2 linked regions of the Ovis aries genome follow. The protein of the gene in region 1 binds, or shares a complex with, the protein of each later gene. Links are inferred from orthologs where the notes say so. Each region holds a gene or a part of one and is shown in the gene's direction. Other genes may lie near its edges.

What was found. Proteins that work in one complex are often made in the same cells at the same time.
Region 2: the proteins of ITGB3 (region 1) and SHC1 are in contact, whole or in part, in an NMR structure (PDB 2L1C), measured with the Homo sapiens proteins. The link is inferred for Ovis aries from reciprocal best matches to the Homo sapiens genes ITGB3 and SHC1. Residues at the interface, in NP_000203.2 of Homo sapiens: Trp765, Asp766, Thr767, Ala768, Pro771, Leu772, Tyr773, Lys774, Glu775, Ala776, Thr777, Ser778, Thr779, Phe780, Thr781, Asn782, Ile783, Thr784, Tyr785, Arg786, Gly787, Thr788; in NP_892113.4 of Homo sapiens: Ser175, Met176, Arg177, Asn182, Arg184, Thr185, Gln186, Thr188, Arg189, Glu190, Ser193, Leu194, Arg208, Arg209, Lys210, Arg214, Pro215, Leu216, Ser217, Ile219, Met257, Gln258, Ser259, Ile260, Ser261, Phe262, Ala263, Ser264, Gly265, Pro268.

The regions. Positions count from the first base shown.
Region 1 is NC_056064.1:46,087,482-46,097,335, forward strand, and holds part of ITGB3 (integrin beta-3), read left to right. Parts: intron 1-131; coding exon 132-294; intron 295-927; coding exon 928-1,089; intron 1,090-3,388; coding exon 3,389-3,484; intron 3,485-3,895; coding exon 3,896-3,985; intron 3,986-4,674; coding exon 4,675-4,809; intron 4,810-6,373; coding exon 6,374-6,803; intron 6,804-9,854. UniProt on the Homo sapiens protein: Integrin alpha-V/beta-3 (ITGAV:ITGB3) is a receptor for cytotactin, fibronectin, laminin, matrix metalloproteinase-2, osteopontin, osteomodulin, prothrombin, thrombospondin, vitronectin and von Willebrand factor.
Region 2 is NC_056054.1:105,187,054-105,196,907, reverse strand, and holds the end of SHC1 (SHC-transforming protein 1), read left to right. Parts: exon of another isoform or gene 1-243; coding exon of another isoform or gene 244-249; exon of another isoform or gene 250-253; intron 254-294; 5' UTR 295-2,461; coding exon 2,462-2,956; intron 2,957-3,500; coding exon 3,501-3,571; intron 3,572-4,087; coding exon 4,088-4,151; intron 4,152-4,309; coding exon 4,310-4,429; intron 4,430-4,705; coding exon 4,706-4,759; intron 4,760-4,946; coding exon 4,947-4,998; intron 4,999-5,173; coding exon 5,174-5,300; intron 5,301-6,254; coding exon 6,255-6,453; intron 6,454-6,539; coding exon 6,540-6,609; intron 6,610-6,682; coding exon 6,683-6,817; intron 6,818-6,981; coding exon 6,982-7,220; intron 7,221-8,036; coding exon 8,037-8,165; 3' UTR 8,166-9,670; downstream 9,671-9,854. UniProt on the Homo sapiens protein: Signaling adapter that couples activated growth factor receptors to signaling pathways. Participates in a signaling cascade initiated by activated KIT and KITLG/SCF.

The DNA.
Region 1 (9,854 bases):
TCCCTTAGTTCTCTGACCAGGGATCGAACCTGCATTCCATTGTATTGGAAGCACTGGACTGCCAGGGAAGTCCCCCTCCCTGCCATCTTTTATGTCAGATGTCTGTTTAAATCATCTCCTTCCCTCCCTAGTATGAAGGCTACCTGTTTGCCCATGTTTGGCTACAAACATGTGCTGACGCTAACTGACCAGGTGACCCGTTTCAATGAGGAGGTGAAGAAGCAGAGTGTGTCACGGAACCGAGATGCCCCAGAGGGTGGTTTTGATGCCATCATGCAGGCTACCGTCTGTGATGTGAGTTTGGAGGGTGTGGAGTGCCAGGTGTGGTTGGTGCAGACCAAAATGGGGAGGAAGTGGTTCAACGGTGGGGATTTCTGGGTGAAATACAAGATAGGAACTAAGCAGAGCTTTGTACAGTATGAGCAACATGTTGCTGCTGATAAACAACCTCTGCTTGTATTTGCTCCCTGGCCAGAGCTGATATTTTTTTGAACCTTAGGGGACCCACATGCTTACTGGGGAGAGCATCTCCCCACCTTCTCTGGAAGTGTATCTGAGTCCAGGCTGGGTTCACTTAATCTCAGCAAATTGGGCAGATGTCCAGGCAAGATTTCTTCTAGCCCAGCCCAGCTCTGTAGATGCAGGTGGGTTTTTGGATGGGCCGTGTGATTCTCATTGAAGAAGTTCTATTTGGAGATGAAGTAGGTGTCTTTCAGCTCCTTGAGCTAGTGAGCTCTGAGACTATTTTTCTAAGAGAACAGAAACTGCTGAGTTGGATAGCTCCAGCTTGTGTTCCAAGGACTGGGACTGAGGCCATTCTCCAGCCCATGTCTAGCCCTTCAGATTGGGAACTCCTTGGGTCTTTGTGTTGTACCAGTGACATAGCTAAAGTTGCTGTCTTTTACCTTTTTTTTTTTTTAAAAACAGGAGAAGATTGGCTGGAGGAATGATGCCTCCCACTTGCTGGTGTTTACCACTGATGCCAAGACCCATATAGCGCTGGATGGAAGGCTGGCAGGCATCGTCCAGCCCAATGATGGGCAGTGTCATGTGGGCAATGACAACCATTATTCTGCCTCCACTACCATGGTGAGATTCTTTTTTCCACTTATGGTTCCTATTCACTGTGGCCAGGACTGCCCTAACTCAGGCAGAGTCTTTGTGTGAGTATGAAAATGACAGGCCTTCCTCTGGGGAAGATACAGGGCTCTTTGCAGCCTGTCTTCATCCAGGGTACAACCTGCACAACCATTAGAGATGGTCCTGGCTGGGGTCAGTGTTACTGCTACCTCCACTGCCTCTAGCACCAGCTGCAGCCTCATGGCATCCAGAATGGACCCAGAGGACTTTTACATGTTCAGCTGGAAAGCAGGGCCATCCTGTCACTGTGTACAGATTAGCCCCTTCTTGAAGCATCATGCTTTCTGTGGTTATTGGAAGAAGACAGAGGAAAAAGAGACAAAGACTGGCCAACCACGGCGAGCCAGTCCTGTAAGGAAAGGATAAAGGGCTTAGAGTCATTTAGCTGGAATACAAGGGCTAAAGGATGGTTTAGCTGATACATGAGAAGACTTTTTAAAGTTAAAAACTAAAAAAATTTTATTATTATTTTTTAATATGGAAAACCCTAAAAGATATTTTATTTATTTATTTGGCTGCATTGGGTCTCAGTTGCAGCACTTAGATCTTTGATTTTCATTGTGGCATATGAACTCTCAGTTGCAGCATGTGGGATCTTAGTTCCCTGACCAGGGATTGAACCCAGGGCCCCTGCATGGAGAGCCTGGAGTCTTAGCCACTGAGCCATCAGGGAAGTCCCAAGAAGACTTTTTTAAAAGCTATTATTTTTTTTGAGGTAACATTGGTTTATAACATGATATGTTTCATGACGTACATCAGTATCTTTCTACTTCTGCATACACTTCACCATGCTCACCACCCCAAATTTAGTTTCCATCTGTCACCATACAGTTGATCCTCTTTATCCATTTCATCCTCCTCCACCCCTTCCCCTCTGGTAACCACTACTCTGTTTGAGAAGACTTCTTAGAATTTGTTTTCTATGTCCACAGTAGGTAAAACAAAGGAAAGGATTTTACATGGAAATAAGAGAAATTGCAGTAAACCATAAAGAAAATGTACAGACCTGCAGAATACTGATACTCTGAGTATATAGGGGGAGATGGGAACTCTTCATTTCTTAAAGACAATATAGCAATTACTCCATCTAGGTGGCTTAAATGTACACCTGTGTAAGGGTAGGAACCTGAGTTTCATGATCTCATGAGCTCCCTGAAAGGTCTAGGATTCCAGAGATATGTTCATAATTCGTCAGCACTGCCTTTTTGGCTTGAGTTTTTGGTATCAGCAATATGCAGGTTGAGCACTACCAAGCAATGGGTGAGTCTATAGTGACTGACATTTAGTCTATGCAAGGCCTTGGGGCTTCCCTGGTGTCTCAGTGGTAAAGAACCTACCTGCAGTGCAGGAGACTCAGGAGACGTGGGTTCGATCCCTGGATTGGGAAGATCCCTTGGAGGAGAGTATGGCAACCCACTCCAGTATTCTTGCCTGGAGAATTCCATGGATGGAGGAGCCTGGCGGGCTACAGTCCATGGGGTGGCAAAGAATTAGACATAACTGAAGCGACTGAACACACACACACTAGGCATGCCCTTACTGGGGTTGGAGAATGTTAACAAGACTATATAATGCCCTGCTCTTAAAGAGTTTTTGGTTTAGTCAAGAAGATATGGTACCAATAACAGAAGGTGCATGATTAATGCTAATTAGGTGAAACATTTGATAAAGGCTTTAGGTATTCAAAAGAAGAAAGCTCATTGTGAATTGGGGTGGTCAAGGAAGGCCTCCTGGCAGAGGTGAGACCTGAGCTGGATCCTAAGGAAGGAGGGTTAACAAAAAGAAGTCCACTTCAGGTGGGAGAAAGACAGGGTTCCAGATAGTGGTGAGTGAAAAGGGGAGAGAGGTTGCATGATGACTGGAAAGGAAAGTTGAGATCACATGGCAGAGTACTGTGAGCACCAAGCCAAGGCATTTGTCAGGAGCCGCAAAACAGGAGTGGGCATCAAAACGACGAGGCCTGGCAGTACCTGGTCCAGGAAGCTGCTCCTTGGTGTGGCTGCTTCACATCTGAGTAGGAAGAAAGAGGTGTTTAGTTTTGATACTACAAGCCTGTATCTCTTCATCTATCCTGAGTTCACACCTGAGTTTGTGTTTGCTTCTCATTGTCATGGGGTGAAAAAGTTAAAGCCCCACCACTGTCTGGGCCATGGCTCCAATCAACCAAGTCCTAAAGTTTAGAATCCAGGGATGTATGTGAATAGACTTCTTACTTCTTAACTAATTCCCACATCCTCCCTTTTTACAGGATTATCCCTCCTTGGGGCTGATGACTGAGAAGCTATCCCAGAAAAACATCAATTTGATCTTTGCAGTGACTGAAAGTGTAGTCAATCTCTACCAGGTGACTATACCTTCGGGGCTTCCTGGAGTGGGAGTGGGGTCTGTGATGGGTGGACCTATCTCAGGGAACCAACCCAGACTACCTTTGGCCATGGTCCCCAATCAGGAAAGACCTGGGAGCTAATGATTACTTTTGGTGAACCTCTCTCCTCCAACCTTGAACCTACAAGGATGGGTGTATTGACGTTTGCAGAGGTGGAGGAGAGTAATTTAGTGGGAAGAGTGGTGTGAGAGGTTCTCTGTAATTTTTCTCAGGGCTGAAAAGCTGCTAGATATATTCCTGGCAGTGATAAGTAAAATATCCCATCCCTCCCTCAATTTTCTTTTCAAGACCCTCCATCTATTTGGGGAGGGCCTTTGGAGATCACCATCTTTATCAGTCATTCCTAGATATCTTTGTCTTCTTTTCTAGAACTATAGTGAGCTCATCCCAGGGACCACAGTGGGGGTTCTGTCTACTGATTCCAGCAATGTTCTCCAGCTCATTGTGGATGCTTATGGGGTAAGTGTCTTACACTGGGAATAGACCCGCTAAGAGTCCACTGCCCTTGGCATTACCCAGGAGGCCTCAGATTTGAGAGTCCTGGCAGCTAGTCCACCATGCAGCCTTGACTGCCTTCTTCTTGTGCTTCTAGAGGCTAGGCGATAGGCAGCACTGGGAGGAATGCAGCCTTCTGCAACAGAAGTGGCTCAGGAGGGGATGGAGGGAGCCGTAGGAACAACAGAGGAAATGCTTAGAGAAGGTGAAATGGAAAGAGACAATGGGGATGATGTTAAGGAGCAGGGCCCTGAAACTGGGAGTGGGTACAGACTGAGGGAGAGCTGGGCTCCAACAACAGAGGAAAGAGGGAGCTGAATTATGGGGAATGTGAGGCTGATGAAAACGTAGGTAGAAAGTGGTACTACTCAAGGCGACCAGTATCAGCACGCCTGCAGGAGGGCACAGCTGGTTTAGATTTTACCCAGACTCACCTAGACACAAGTGGAGAAAGAGCGAGAGCAGGTCTTGGGCTGGAAGGTTAGTGGGATACAGGCTCCTAAGGATGCTGTGGCAGCTGGCAGGTGGACCTCAGCATTTAGGGGGGTAGGTGAGTCCAGGACCACCTGGTGATTTTTGCTTGGGATGTAATTGGCCCCTACTTGTGTCCTCTCAGCCCGTTTTCTTGCCTTCTTTTGCCCTTTTTTGCTCAGAAAATCCGCTCTAAAGTAGAGCTGGAAGTGCGTGACCTCCCCGAGGAGCTGTCCTTATCCTTCAACGCCACATGTCTCAACAACGAAGTCATCCCAGGCCTGAAGTCTTGTGTTGGACTCAAGATTGGAGACACGGTGAGGTGGGCTGGACAGGGGCTGACGCTGGGGCACTCACCTTGGCTCGTGCCCTGGAACCTCTGTGGGCACCCACCCCTTCCTTCCCTGTACTTTCTTCCTGAACGTCCTTACAAGTCCGATGTAATGGAGCTGCCAGCCTTTGCCTCCGAGGCTTCTGTTGCCTAAACTTTCTCCGTTAAGTAACTTCCCTGTCAGGATTTTTAAAAAACTTGCACTTAGGTGACTATTTATGCACAGTCGATTGCAGATGATATTTCTTGCCTTCAGCCCCTTACTGGTCTCCACCCTCCTCTAAAGTAATGCCTTTCTTTGCTTCACAACGTAAATGGAAATGTCATCTGTAAATATTTATTGAGCCCTGACTTCGTGCCAGACATTGTCCTAGCTGCTGAAGATTTGGCAGCCAACAGAATAGGTGAAAATACCCACCATCATGGAATTTCAGAATGCAAACGTTCATTTTGCCTTCTTAGTCCCTCTGTGGCTTTCCTTCCCTAGTGGTTCGTTCTCCTCAGTTTCTGCCTTAGGGGAGAGGGATGGTGAAAGGGGTGGGAAGAAAAGAGGGGCTTATCTATAGTTGTATCATCCATGTCTGTATTATTTAATGTCTATATCTATCCCTCTTTCTGTCTACATTCTAGGCACATGTGCACACACCCTAGTAAGAAACGTTGGCCTGAAACATGTTTGATTGCACAAGTGATGAAATGTCATATGGAAATTGAACAGGGATCTCCCTGGTGGTCTGGTGGTTATCACCCTGGGCTTCCTCTGCAGGGCGCATGGTTTCCATCCCTGGTTGGGGAATTAAGATCTTGCATGCTGCAAGGCGGGACCAAAATAAATAAATAAAGAAAGAACAACAAAAACTATAAAGAAATTGAACAGTAGGTCTTGAGCCTGAGGTTGGCCACTATGTGACACTGTATAGGTTAGGGTTAGGGTTACCGTTGTTGCTGTTTAGTTGCTGTCATGTCTGATTCTTTTGTGGCCCCATTGACTGTAGCCCCACCAGACTCCTCTGTCCATAGGATTTTCCAGGCAAGAATACTGAAGCAGGTTGCCATTTCCTTCTCCAGGGGATCTTCTCCACCAAGGGACTGAACCCGTGTCTCTTTCATCTCCTATATTGGCAGGCAGATTCTTTACCACTGAGCCACCCGGGAAGCCCCAGGGTTACCATACAATGCCACAAAATAGTGCTTTGTGTACCTTGATATTATGTAATCAGCTAGTTTAGTTGGCCAAAGACAGAGTGTTTATAAGATCATAGGTTCTGCTCTGCATGAACTGGTTTATTTATTTTTTTTTTTAAAAGCTATCTCGTGATTATAAGCCATGTCTGCACCCAGCCAGCAGGTCACAATGGCACAACTGTCCCCAGGTCTTGCTTTGGCTTTGCAGACCCTGGTAGTGGCAAAGCTGAGGAACTTTGGCTTGCGGGGGACAGGACACCCAGTTTGAGTATTCCTGGGCAGGGCAGGGAACAGCTTCTTTCCCTCCAGTGCTGGAGTGTCAACAGGGTCCCCTGTGTCTGAACACGATCTTACTTTCCGTCCAGGTGAGCTTCAGCATTGAGGCCAAAGTGCGTGGCTGTCCCCAGAAGAAGGAGAAGTCCTTCACCATCAAGCCTGTGGGCTTCAAAGACAGCCTCACTGTGCAGGTCACTTTCGACTGTGACTGTGCCTGCCAGGCTGAGGCTGAGCCTTACAGCCACCGCTGCAACAATGGCAATGGGACCTTTGAGTGTGGGGTGTGCCGCTGTGGGCCTGGCTGGCTGGGGTCCCAGTGTGAGTGCTCGGAAGAGGACTACCGCCCCTCGCAACAGGACGAGTGCAGCCCCCGGGAGGGCCAGCCCATCTGCAGCCAGCGGGGCGAGTGTCTCTGTGGCCAGTGCGTCTGCCACAGCAGTGACTTTGGCAAGATCACCGGCAAGTACTGTGAGTGTGATGACTTCTCCTGTGTCCGCTACAAGGGGGAGATGTGCTCAGGTGAGTAGAATTGCACATGCCTTCCATCCTGGTACCCACACACACTCACGCATCTGCAGCCTCTGGAAATGGATGCAGGCTAGGGCTTGAGGTGGGCACAGGGTGGCTCAGGGACAGAGGGAGCTGATGGTGTTCCACTCCAAGGGCAGGAAATAGAAGCAAGGTTCTCTTTAATTCCCCTCAGCTCCCTCTGTCCTTTCACGAGGGACACAAGGAAGGAAATGAGTGTCTGCTTTCAGAGGGTGGGAAAGAGTGGGGAAAATTGAAAGTGAAGATAGTTTTTTTCTTTTCTCTCATTTGCCCTTCAGCTCACATTTTAAGTCACTGGTTTCTAATCTTTTTGAGGATATGAATCAACCCCTTTTTTAAATTAAAAAAGTTTTTTTTTTTTTTTGGCCATACCATGTGGTATCTTAGTTTAGTTCTTCGACTAGGGATCGAAACTTGCCCCCCGTCCCCCGCATTGGAAGAGTGGAGTCTTAACCACTGGACCACCAGGAAAGTCCTCCAACCCTTTTTCTCACTTTAAAAAAAAGTCACTGACTAATGCTAATTAGAATTTTAGTATACATAGGTTTGGAAACTACACGATGTCAGAATATGTAATGAAGTTAGTAATGATTATTTTACATGAATTTATATTTTCATCACGCAACATGTAGAAAACAAGTAGTGTCTTTGCAAGATATTGGAGCACATTTAATGAGCCAGTACACTTAGGAGAGTGACTGAAAAATAGTAAGTGTTGGTACTATTAAGTGTTGGTACTCTTATTAAGTGTTGGTACTATTTTATTATCACTGTTGGTATATTATTACTTTTTGTACTCTAGATCTCTACAGTCCAAAATGGTGGCTATTTAAATTTAAATGAATCAAGTTTAATGAAAGCTTAAGTACAAAGTTTAAATCAAATTAAATTTAAAAAGTTAGTTTCTGTGTTCCTCAGGAGCCATGTGTGGCTAGTTGCCACCGTATTGCACAGCACAGATGGTTTTTGGGGGTGCTGCCACAGACAGTCCCAGACTGCAGGCTGCCGCAGACAGTCCCAGACTGCAGGCTGCCGCAGACAGTCCCAGACTGCAGGCTGCCGCAGACAGTCCCAGACTGCAGGCTGGGGACTATGAGTTTGAATCCTTCTACCTGCAGGATGCTGAATTGTTGTCTACCTCATTACAAAATTCAGTAAAATCTTGAGGCCCATGATACTCTCAAGCTGGTTTCTGCTTACCCCAAAGCCCACTCCTGGGGTACTTCCCTAGCTAGAAGTCCAACTAAGTTAACATGATCCTTATCTGCAGACACGCTGACAACACTCCCAGAGGCAGTTAGGCAGTCTGAGTTGTTCCTGAGCACTAGGGATACATTTTTGCTGGGCTGTAGTCACTGTGGCTTAATCCCCATTGTGAGAGAGAGACTGAGGATATCTGCAGTTTGGTTGGGACCAGTTTGCAGTTGTATTGTGTGGCCATTGAACAGAGAGTATCCCTGGGTTCTGGGATGATCAAGCCTATGACCCAGATGGGCTTCGCTTGCGCTGGGGCTCTAACCAGCGGAGCTAATCTACCCAGGTGTTCACTTTAACATTGGCCTTGAGGAAATCTTGATGAGAAAGGTAAGTGTGTGTCATTCTAAAGCATACTCAAGTAATATTACCTACAACACTGTTTACTCAAGTCGACAAAATTTGAGAGACTGGAGAAAAATGGTATCAGAGAAAAGGAATACTGTTCCTAGAATGTTAAAATCTTCAATTTGTGGTAATATTTTATAGCATATGAGATTGATCAAATTAAATATCTTCTTATAACAAAAAATTGATATGAGAGAGATTAGGGGAAAGAGAGATCAGATATGCACGGGCACACAGACACAGCCAGCAATTTGAATTCAGGAGTGAGGCAAGAGTTTCGGTTCCTTTTCACAGGGGTCCCCAACATCCGGGATCTAATGCCCGATTATCTGAGGTGGAGCTGATGGATTAATAATAGAAATAAAGGGCAGAATAAATGGAATGCTCTTGAATCATCCCCAAACCATCCCCCCCAACCCCAGTCCATGGAAAAATTGTTTTCTGTGAAACCCATCCCTGGTGCTAAAATGGTTGGGGACTGCTGCCTTCTAATATTTAACAGTAATTTATGTTGTATCCAGGGCTCCCTGGTGGCTCAAACAGTAAAGAATCCATCTGCAAGGCGGGAGACTTGGGTTTGATCCCTGGGTTGGGAAGATCCCATGGAGGAGGGCATGGCAACCCACTCCGGTATTCTTGCCTGGAGAATCCCATGGACAGAGGAGCCTAGCGGGCTACAGACCACGGGCTTGCAAAGAGTCGGACACAACTGAGCGACTAAGCACACACACGTCATATTCAAGGCACCAAAGGGAATGGTTAAGTTTGACGTGGGAGACACATGAGGAGAAGGCTGGGACTGAGGGAAAAAAAGTTGCCCCTAGGAGAGGCTTACACACAGACCATGACGGCACCAGGGTGGGAGGGAGGCCCGCTGCTACTCTATGGGCTGATTGTTCCTGGTCTGATGTGGGGCATGTGGGAGGGATCCCAGCCAGAGTGTGTTTCCTTTGGCTGCCCGCCCCACTGAAGCCGCAGAACAAAGGCCCTGGGTCAGCAGCCCTTATTCCTGCCTCCCAGCCGCACAGGAACAGCTCGTCCCCGGTGAGCTCCAGCCCATCACACGAGGGAAGCCCAGGCAGCCACTGCAGCTCTGAGGCCTCCCTCTCCCTTCCTGCCAGGGTGTTGGGTGCCCGCCGGCCTCAGGTCTGGACCCTCTGTTGCCGTTATCACATCCTCCAGGGACACATGCTCGCTGAACACCTGCTCTGTGCCAGGCCCTCGGTCCACATGGGTGCAAAGGGGTCATGTGTGGTTCCTGACCTGGCGGGGCTTATAGCCCAGCTCATCCTTGTCCCTCCCTGCCTAGAGCTGCTGGCCTGGTCTGTTCTTTGCTCAAGCAGGGGCTCGGGAGTGCAATGACTTGGCCATGGTCCCAGCCCCTGGCTGTCCCTGTCCCCTCCTCCCCACTGGAGGCAT
Region 2 (9,854 bases), on another chromosome or scaffold:
GGGTGGACCTACTTGAAGGGGGCTGGACTTGGGGTTTGGCACGAGAGTGGGAGGGAGACTTGCTCACAGATTCCCTGCCCCACTCCCTGAGTTTCCCTTCCCAGGACCGACTCCACCCCAGAAACAGCTGTTTGTCTCATACCTGTACGACGGGAGCTGGGTAGGGCCGTGGATTTGTCGATGTGTGACATGTGGGTGTGACAGAAGAGAAAGTTTTCTACCACCTGAAGACGGTGGCTTGGAATGGGTGTAGGTAACAGTGTCCTTTTTGATGTTTGATTTTTTTTTTTTAAGGGACTCTTCAGGCCCCACCACTTCTCTGGCTCTTCCCCTCCCCCAGACAGAGTTCTAGTCTGGGCATTTCTCCTGGTCCTGCTTGCCCAGCCTTCCCTGCTGGAAACATTCCTGAGGCTTTCGCCATTTCCTGCTACTTTCCGCCTCTCTTGCCTCCTCCTCCCTGCTGAGCTGAGAAGCCACATGCAGCTTCTTCCCCACACCCAGTCGTTCAGATTCCCAGTAGCAATCCCCTTTCTTCCTTCAGATTGCCAATAGCAATCTCCTTTCTTCCTCCGTAAATTTAAAGAGCCCTACTTCCTCTTTCTTTTCTAAACATGCCCACACCTGTAGGTCATCCCTTGTCTCTGGATTCTGCAGGCACCCACAGAATGCTCACCTCTAAAGATAGGATATCCTGGTGTGTGCTTGTGTGTGTGTGGGGGGTGGGGGGCGGTGAGGCTTTGGCAGAATACTTTCCTCTTTCTCTGTTTCTGAGTGCTGAGGCCTTAGGAAACAGTGATAGGTTTTCTTCTCAGGAGTGGTGCATGGGGTGGTAAAGCTCTCCTGGGTTCAGGACTACGGGGGCGGTGGTAAGCACAGTATCTAACATGTTTTCATTGTCAGGATTGTTAATCACTGTAATCACAATAATTTGCATTTTTTTAATATTCTGAAGTAAATTTAAAGATAGGTAATTCCGAGGTGAGCCTGCTGAGGGTATATGTATCTTTTACTACTACTTCTATTTGGTTGCTTTCCAACTTCCCCTGTGGCCTCCTGGAGCAGAGCTGTGGCAGGATGCTGTGGGTGGGAGGAATGAGTTTGGGACTGTTCCCTGTGTCCAGCCTCAGTCCTCTTCTGGCACCCCTTTCTCATGAGCACAGATTTGACTTCTGCGCCTCTGTCCCTTCCTGGCCACTTCTCTTGGACAGCCGTTGCACTGCCCCATCTCCTGTGGTCAGACTCTTTCCTTGATATGAGGGGTATCATGCTCCTTGGTGGATACCTGCCCTCTCTCTGGTCACTACTAAAAAGGAGGGGTATGTGTTCACCTGGAGGTCTAGGGATCTGACCTTAGTGTCAATGCCCTGGCCACCCCTCACCCCTTCTGCCCTTGACAGCTTACTTTCCTGTGGAAGAGGGGGGCAGAAGAGTATTTGGCTTGGGCCTCTGCTCCTTGGCATGGTAGGCGCCATGCATGGAGAACAAGCCTCCACCAAACTGTCCTCTGCTCCAGCTCCTGCCCGGTGGCTCCCTGATGTGCCACCCAGCTTGGACTTTATTCCTCTTACTTTAACAGCTTTGCCTTTCCTCTTGGCCCCTCCCTGCATCCACTGGGACCATGTCCTTCTTTTTCCCATTTCTTTAGCTCCCTCCACAGCTGTGATAGCCAAGGAGGCTAATGGCTCAGGCTCCCTAGGGCCACCACCCCTCTGTGGGGCAGTGGTGGGGGGGCGCTGGGGCTGGAGGCTGAGGGAATTTGAGTGTTCAACCAGGACAGGAAGGGAATTGCTGAGCTCAGGGATCCCCTCCCTTTCCCACCCCCAGCTGCCTCTGTTTCCTCCCTCAACCTCCTCCTCGCCCGCCGCCCCCCCCCCCCCCCCCCCCCCCCCCCCGGCCCCACCGGTCCCTCAGCTTCCTGCTCTCTTTGGCCTGCCCTTGTCCGGTCTGGATTGATCCAGACCTCCTCTTATCGCCCTCCTTTCCTTCTCACTCCTCCATCCTCCCCCAGCCCCCACTTTACTCCTCCCCCAGTTACTTGTTTGTATGGTAGGGTGGGGGAACCAGGCAGGGGGACATGGATCCCTCTGCCCTGCGAGAGTTCTGGGTTGGGGCAGTGTTGGGGGCTCAGCCCCTCAGAGCCTGTGAGTCAGCACTGTCCTTGGGATTGGTCTCTCCCCTTAGCTCCCCGCCCCTGGGGAGGAGCTAGGCAGCTCTAGGTCCAGCCTGTTCTGTTCTCAGCCTGAGAAGAGGCTCCAGGCTGGGCGGGGATGGGGCCTGAAACTGTCTGGGTCTGAGCCGGGGAAGCCAGAGCTACTTGTCCCTCTCCCTCTCCAGGACCCTTGAGATCCCTGGGCCATAGAGGTCCGATCAGGCTAAGGGCCTGGGATGCCCCCTGCCTGGCCCCCTTGCCCTGACTGGCAGGGGGGCCAGGCTGGGTAGCAGCCTCCCTTTCACCCCAGCCATGGATCTCCTGCCCCCCAAGCCCAAGTACAACCCACTTCGGAATGAGTCTCTGTCGTCGCTGGAGGAGGGGGCCTCAGGGTCCACCCCACCGGAGGAGCTGCCGTCCCCATCAGCCTCGTCCCTGGGGCCCGTGCTGCCACCTGTGCCTGGGGACGATAGCCCCACCACCCTGTGCTCCTTCTTCCCCCGGATGAGCAGCCTGAAGCTGGCCAGCCCAGCTGGGGGGCGCCCAGGCCCGAAAGGGGAGCCAGGAAGGGCAAACGAGGACGGGGAGGGGGTCGCAGGGGCAGTCATGCTGGACTCAGGCCCCCTGCCCCTCCTCCAGGACATGAACAAGCTGAGTGGAGGCGGCGGGCGCAGGACTCGGGTGGAAGGGGGCCAGCTGGGGGGCGAGGAGTGGACTCGCCACGGGAGCTTTGTCAATAAGCCCACACGGGGCTGGCTGCATCCCAACGACAAAGTCATGGGACCCGGGGTTTCCTACTTGGTTCGGGTGAGTGAACATCCTCTCCCTCCCACTCCCTCCCGGACCCCTCCAGTTCCTCTGCTTACTAATCTCTTTCTCCCCCCCTGCTCTTCCCCAGCAACTCCCTTGGTTTCGGTGTCCTGTTTCTTAAACCTTTCTTGCCCCTTCTCCAATTCTCTCACCTCTTCCCTTCCAGCTCTGTCTGGGGCCCCTTCCTTCTGGTAACTCCCCTACCCCCACCCCGCCATGCTTAGCACAAAGCCCAGCACAAGCCCTTAGTAAGTGTTGGAATGAGTGACTCTTGACTATCCCCTCCAGTCTCCTCCCCGCTTTCTGGAGATGTCACTCCATCCCACCCGATGCCCGTCACGCCTTCCCATAGGCATGCGGTCCGCCTAGCTTGCCCTTCTCTCTTTGCCCCTCTTGTCCTGCATGTTGTGGGGTATATCCGTGGGCAGTGGCAGAACTTCTTCATCCTGACTTCCCTGAGGGACCAAGGAAGGAGAAGTCCCAGGGCCCTTTGTGAAGAGGGGGGAGGTGGCTTACCGGTGTCCCCTGTCCCTCCCCTCAGTACATGGGCTGTGTGGAGGTCCTGCAGTCTATGCGCGCCCTTGACTTCAACACCCGGACTCAGGTCACCAGGTCAGTGGGGCTTGGGGGAGGGGCAGTCCCAGGATTCATGAGAGGTGGGGAGAATGGGCCACTTGGTGGTGCTAGTGATGGTTTATCTTTAGGTGGTAAAGGGGGTTGAGAGAAAGTTAGGGAAGTGAGTCTAAGTCTTAATGTAAAGGGGCAACTCTGCCCTGGCTCCTTATTATCCAGCCCAGGGAGTTGTGGGGGAGGTGGGCAGAGGCAGCTAGCAGCTAGAGCTGGAGTGGAAAATGGGGGTAGCTGGAAGGTTGCTGCTGCCTTTGGGAAGGGGATGGGACATTTGGTAGCTAGAAGGGGGTGGGGCCAGACCCATTGAGGCCCTAACCCAATCAGCCAGGAAGCGGCCTCTCAGTGTCATCAAATATTAAAGGCCCTTAATTCAATCCACCACGACAAAGAGCCTGGAGTGCCCCTGGAGTCTGGCCTGGCCTTCCCCTCCCCCAGCCCTGTGGCGGCCCCAGCCGAGTGGGAGGCAGGCTCTGGGTCTGAGTATTCCTCTTTCCCCAGGGAGGCCATCAGTCTGGTGTGTGAGGCTGTGCCGGGTGCTAAGGGGGCAACAAGGAGGAGAAAGGTACCCGGGGTCTGTGGGGCTAGGGATGCTGGGAGATGTGGAGGAGCAGGGGGAAGGCTAGTGTGGGGCAGGTGGGGAGAAGTCCAGAAGGCAGGAGTGTGGGGGTTTCCTGGTGTGGGGGACCCCCCAGCTTCTGAGACCCGTGGGCCCTTCCCTAGCCCTGTAGCCGTCCACTCAGCTCCATTCTGGGGAGGAGTAACCTGAAATTTGCTGGAATGCCAATCACTCTGACCGTCTCCACCAGCAGCCTCAACCTCATGGCCGCAGACTGCAAACAGGTTGGTGGGGTGAGGCGGCGGGGGTGGGGTGGGCAGAAACATCGATGGGAGGGCTAAATGGGAACTTGGTTATGAGGGTAAGACACTGGGAGAGAAGGCTTGGGAGCAGTGGAACAGTAGGGAAGGAGCAGATTAAGAGAACATGCGTTGAGAAGCCAAAAGGATGAGACTGGGACGCCAGGGTCTTGAGCCAGTGGTGGGCGGTGCCCAGTAGACTCTGAGGCTGCCTGATGCCCATCATTCCCTTCCTTCTCCATCCTCTGCCCTAACCCTCAGATCATTGCCAACCACCACATGCAGTCCATCTCGTTTGCATCCGGCGGGGACCCGGTGAGTTGGGGAATGGAGCTTAGGTGGTGGGAGGAGAGTAGGGGGCTAGGGATTGGGAGGACACTGGCAAGAGAAGTGAGCCCGCTAGGATTGCGGCAGTGTCTGAGAAAGGGGCCTGAAGGGGTCAGGAGTAGGGTGGGGCTATACAGTTTAGCTAACTGGCCTCTTCTGCCTCTGTCCACCCCAGGACACAGCCGAGTATGTTGCCTATGTTGCCAAAGACCCAGTGAATCAGAGAGGTGAGGTGTGGATGGGGAGCACTGGGTGGGGCTGGCTGTCCAAGGGGCAGGTGAGCAGGACCCGGGGGCTCCTCCTGCCGAGGGCCCCTCCTGCCGAGGGCCCCGTCTGTGCCTCCTCCCAGCCCCACAGTCCCCCCGCCGCCCAGCTCCCTAACAGCCTCTGCTGCACCCCCAGCCTGCCACATCCTGGAGTGTCCCGAAGGGCTTGCTCAGGACGTCATCAGCACCATTGGCCAGGCCTTCGAGCTGCGCTTCAAACAGTACCTCAGGAACCCACCCAGGCTCGTCACCCCCCACGACAGGTGCGCGGGTGAGGCAGGTGGGGGCGGGGGGCAGCCCACTCCCGGGGGCCCCAGACCAGAACTGGAAAAGGAGGCCTGCTCTTCCACAGTCCAGCTCAGAAAAGGGCAGGGAAGGAAATAACCTGCGTGCCCCTGCTTCCTGCTATTCTTAAGTTTCCTGTGGCCGGCAGGAAGGTGCTCCGTGGCCCTGCCCGCTGCAGGGCCAGCTTTTCCCGTCGGGCGCCCGTGGCGGGGCTGCAGTGCAGGACGTCCAGCTTGTCCCTGGCTAGACGGGCTTCTCTTTTCCCAGCCGTCTCGTTTCTGGTCTGTCTTTTTGTGCTTCTGTCCATACGTAGTTTAGTTCTTCACGTTCTTGCCTCTAGAAGCCATCAAGAATTTGGGCAAGGGAGGATGGCTCTTTCCTGAGATGGTCACGTTTCCCACCTCAGACCAGTAGGATCGAGTATTTAGAGGAGGGGTTGGGATATTCTAGGGCACCCCCTCCCTGGTTACTTGGTGTCTCCCCTCCCTCTTGGGAGACCGCGTGACGATCAAGGGCATGACGTTAAGGCAAACTCTGAATTGACACTCGGCTCCACCAGTAGCGGTGGTGGTTCAGTCGCTAAGTCATGTCCAGCTCTTTGCGACCCCATGGACTGCAACACGCCAGGCCTCCCTGTCCTCCACTATCTCCCAAGGTTTGCTCAAACTCGTATCCATTGAGTCGGTGATGCCGTCTGACCATTTCTTAGTTGTGTGACCAAAATCTTTTTATCCCTGATCATCATTTTCCTCAACTAAAAAACTGGAGAAGGAAACAGTATGTGCTTTATCGGTTGCCCAGAGAGTGAAATGATTATACGTGAAACACCCATCCTCAGGCCTACCCCTCAGGGAATGCCCCATACGTGACCACTGTTCCGTTCTCCCTCCGTCCTCCCATCCACACTCCTTTCTCCCTCCTGTCTCTCTCAGGATGGCTGGCTTTGATGGCTCAGCTTGGGATGAGGAGGAGGAAGAGCCCCCTGACCATCAGTACTATAATGACTTCCCGGGGAAGGAACCACCTCTCGGGGGTGTGGTGGACATGAGGCTTCGGGAAGGAGCCCTCCCAGGGGCTGCTCGACCCACTCCACCCAGTGCCCAGACCCCCAGCCACCTGGGAGCCACGCTGGTATGTTGCTTGGATGGAGGCGGGTGGGGCTTGGATGGGAGCAGCTGGTTAGGGCCTCTGGTTTCACTCTGTCTTGGTCCCTGCAGCCTGTGGGGCAGCCTGCTGGGGGAGACCCAGAAGCCCGCAGACAGATACCGCCCCCGCCACCCTGCTCAGGTATGAAGGGGACTGAGGGGCAGAGGGGAGTGAGAAGCAGGGCGGGGCCCCTCTAAAGCCTCCGTTTTCTCAGCAGGCAGAGAGCTCTTTGATGACCCCTCGTACGTCAATGTCCAGAACCTAGACAAGGCCCGGCAAGCAGGGGCCGGGGCCGGGCCCCCCAATCCTGCCATCAATGGTAGTGCACCCCGAGACCTCTTTGATATGAGTAAGTGTGCCTCTCGCCTTTCTGTGTCTCCATCTTCTCACTTGATTCCTCCTCTTTTCCTGCCTCTCTGCTTTTTGCTTCCTGGCCTCCCCTCCCTAAAGGTCTAGGTCCTGAGCATAGGGTTGTGTCAGCTGCCTCTCCTAGCCCTCTCTCTGTATCCCCAGAGCCCTTTGAAGATGCCTTGCGAATGCCTCCACCTCCCCAGTCAACAGCCATGGCTGAGCAGCTCCGAGGGGAGCCCTGGTTCCACGGGAAGCTGAGCCGGCGCGAGGCTGAGGCACTGCTACAAGTCAACGGGGACTTCCTGGTGCGGGAAAGCACGACCACGCCGGGCCAGTACGTGCTCACCGGCCTGCAGAGTGGGCAGCCCAAGCACCTGCTCCTGGTGGACCCTGAGGGAGTGGTGAGTGTGGCAGGGGTGTAGGTGGGCATGGCAGAAAGGAAGGTGCAGTCCCCTACCTGTGGCTCTGCTCCTGCCTCACTGCTTCCTAGACTTTGTCTGCTGGGCACCTCTGTCTGGGCCTCCCCTGTTCCCAGGTGTCTGGCATCTCCTTCGTCTAGTGGTTTAGAGTTCCTTCCCTTCTCACATCCCTCACCTGAGCTGTATTCCCTTCAGTCCTTGCCAGTCCCCAAACGTTGTGCCCTTGAGAGCTAGAAAGTGGTCATCTCACTAGTCCCTCTTTTGACAAATAAGGAAACCATCCGCCAGAATTGTAGTGCTCTATGTCAGATGTCTAGAGGCGAAATATCCTGAAACTTTTCACAAGAGGAGCCAGGGGCCTCCCCAGCTCCTGCAGACTCAGGAGTCAGACCAGAGCCCTGTCTCCTGTCTGCGCCGCCCGCTGCCCCTCATGACTTCACTCTTGTTTCTGCAGCAGTCTCAGCCTCCTTTGCATGTCTTTTTGTGTCCTGTGTATCCTCTTCTTGGACATACCGCCCTCCTCCAGGTCAGGGAAGGAGTAGCTAGCCTTCAGTTTCACGACTTCTGGGCTCATGTCTGTTCTGCCTTTTCCCAGTTCACTGACTTGCCCATTCCCACATCTGTCTCCAGCTTCTCTTCCCAGAGAAGCCTCAGTGATCAGAACTGAGAGCCCTCCCTCTCCTGCCATCTTTTTCTCCTGCCTCAACCCTCTTGACTATCCCAGCTTCCTCGGCCTTGGAGACTGAGATTTTATCTGACTCTTCACCTGAATCTCCTTTCTCTGTTCCCACTCCCCAGGTTCGGACAAAGGATCACCGCTTTGAGAGTGTCAGTCACCTCATCAGCTACCACATGGACAATCACTTGCCCATCATCTCTGCGGGCAGCGAACTGTGTCTCCAGCAGCCTGTGGAGCGGAAACTGTGACCTGTTCCAGTGCTCTCTCTCAGAAGACGGCCTGCGGTCCCTTCCACCCTATTCCCTGACTCTTTGGACCTCACTTGGGAGTGTTCGTGGGCTTGGCCTTGTGTAGGACTGGGGATACTGTGGACACTGGGTTCAGCATGCAGCTGAGTGAGAGGGTTTGAGTCAGGAACCAGGGGTAGAGTCCTGCTTCTCCCCAAACCTCACCAAAGTATTAATGTACAGAGTGGCCCCCTTCCCTGGGCCTTTCCTGTGCCAACTTGATACCCTTTTCCCCAAGGTGGGTGCTGGAGGCCTGGGCAGGATGCTTCCTGGTAATGGAAGATGTTCTGTGGTGATAGGCCCAGTGGAGTAATCACCCTTTCAGGGAAGGGGAACTGAATCATACCTTTAGTCTACCCCTGGGCTCAGGGTACCCCAGACTCCTCAACAACCCTCCCTCCCAGCATTCAAATTTTGTGCCTTTGACCATCTCCTAGGTCTGAAGATATTTTATGCAAAGAGTTCTTGGGCCCCTGAAGTCAAGGATGGGGGTGCTGACAGCTTCTTGGCTTCTGGGACCCCGTCCTCTCCTCGCTCAGCACCTCCTCCAGTTTAGGTTGGGCCAGCAGAGGCAGGAGTAGCAGCTGTCCCCTCTCCCTGGGATGTGCAGCCCTTAGAGACTGCCGCGGCACCCTGCTCTCAGCCAGTGGGGAGATGGACCCCTCCCTTGCTCAGTGCCTCCTGGCTGGGGCCCCTCACCCAGGGCTCTGTATATACATTTCGTAAGCCACCCCCCCCCCCCACCATGTTGCATGCATGTTATACTCTACAGCCAAAGTACAGCCCTTCTTCCTGGCCTCTGCCCTGCCTCCCCCTGCAGGGGTGGTGAGGGGGGTGACGGAGCTGCCATCCCAGCTGGATTTGGTCGAGGTGGGAACAGGGGCATTGAGACTTTAAAGCAGTAGACAATCCCCAGATACCATTGGTAGGTTTGGAACTGCGTTTTTTATTTTATATGCATATATTTTAGGGCTGTAGATTTACTTTCCTAATTTGTTTTCCAGAGCTTATTCCTGAGCACAAAATGATGATAATCGATGACATTTATACATCACCTCTTTGACTTTTTCAAAGCCCTTTAACGACTATTGGCATTTTCCTCACCCCGGCCTGTGGGGCAGTTGGAATCGGTAGCATTATCTTTTCTACGAGAGAGACCCAGAGAAGTGGAGTGTAAGCTAGGACTACAGAAACTTGGCCCTCCCACTGCGAGGCGGGGAGGCAGAAGTTTGGCTGTTAGTTTCACACGAGGCGGGGTCACGGTTATTTAATCCCTTCTCCAGGCCTCGCCCTGCAGCAGCAACAGAGGAGCCGGTCCTGCTCTGTCTTTAGGCTTTGTAGCTAAGGGAGAGTGGACTATCTAAATCCTCGCCTCCCTTTTGTTCTTTTCTTTTTGTTTGGATGTTTTCACGGGTCTCACTTATACCAAAGGGAAAGAATCTTCATTAAAGTCCATATTTCTTCTACCTCGGCCTCTAGGTCTCTGTCTCAGCTTATTGTTGGCTCTGGGCGCCCCCCACGGCAGGAGGAGAGGCTGGAGGCCGGACTCGGCCTCACCTGGACTCGCTTGGGTCGCACTCGAGTGAGAACTTAAGGAAGGATTCTCGTAGGAGGGTGCGGCGGGGTGGGGCGTGCGGGGCCACCATGCCA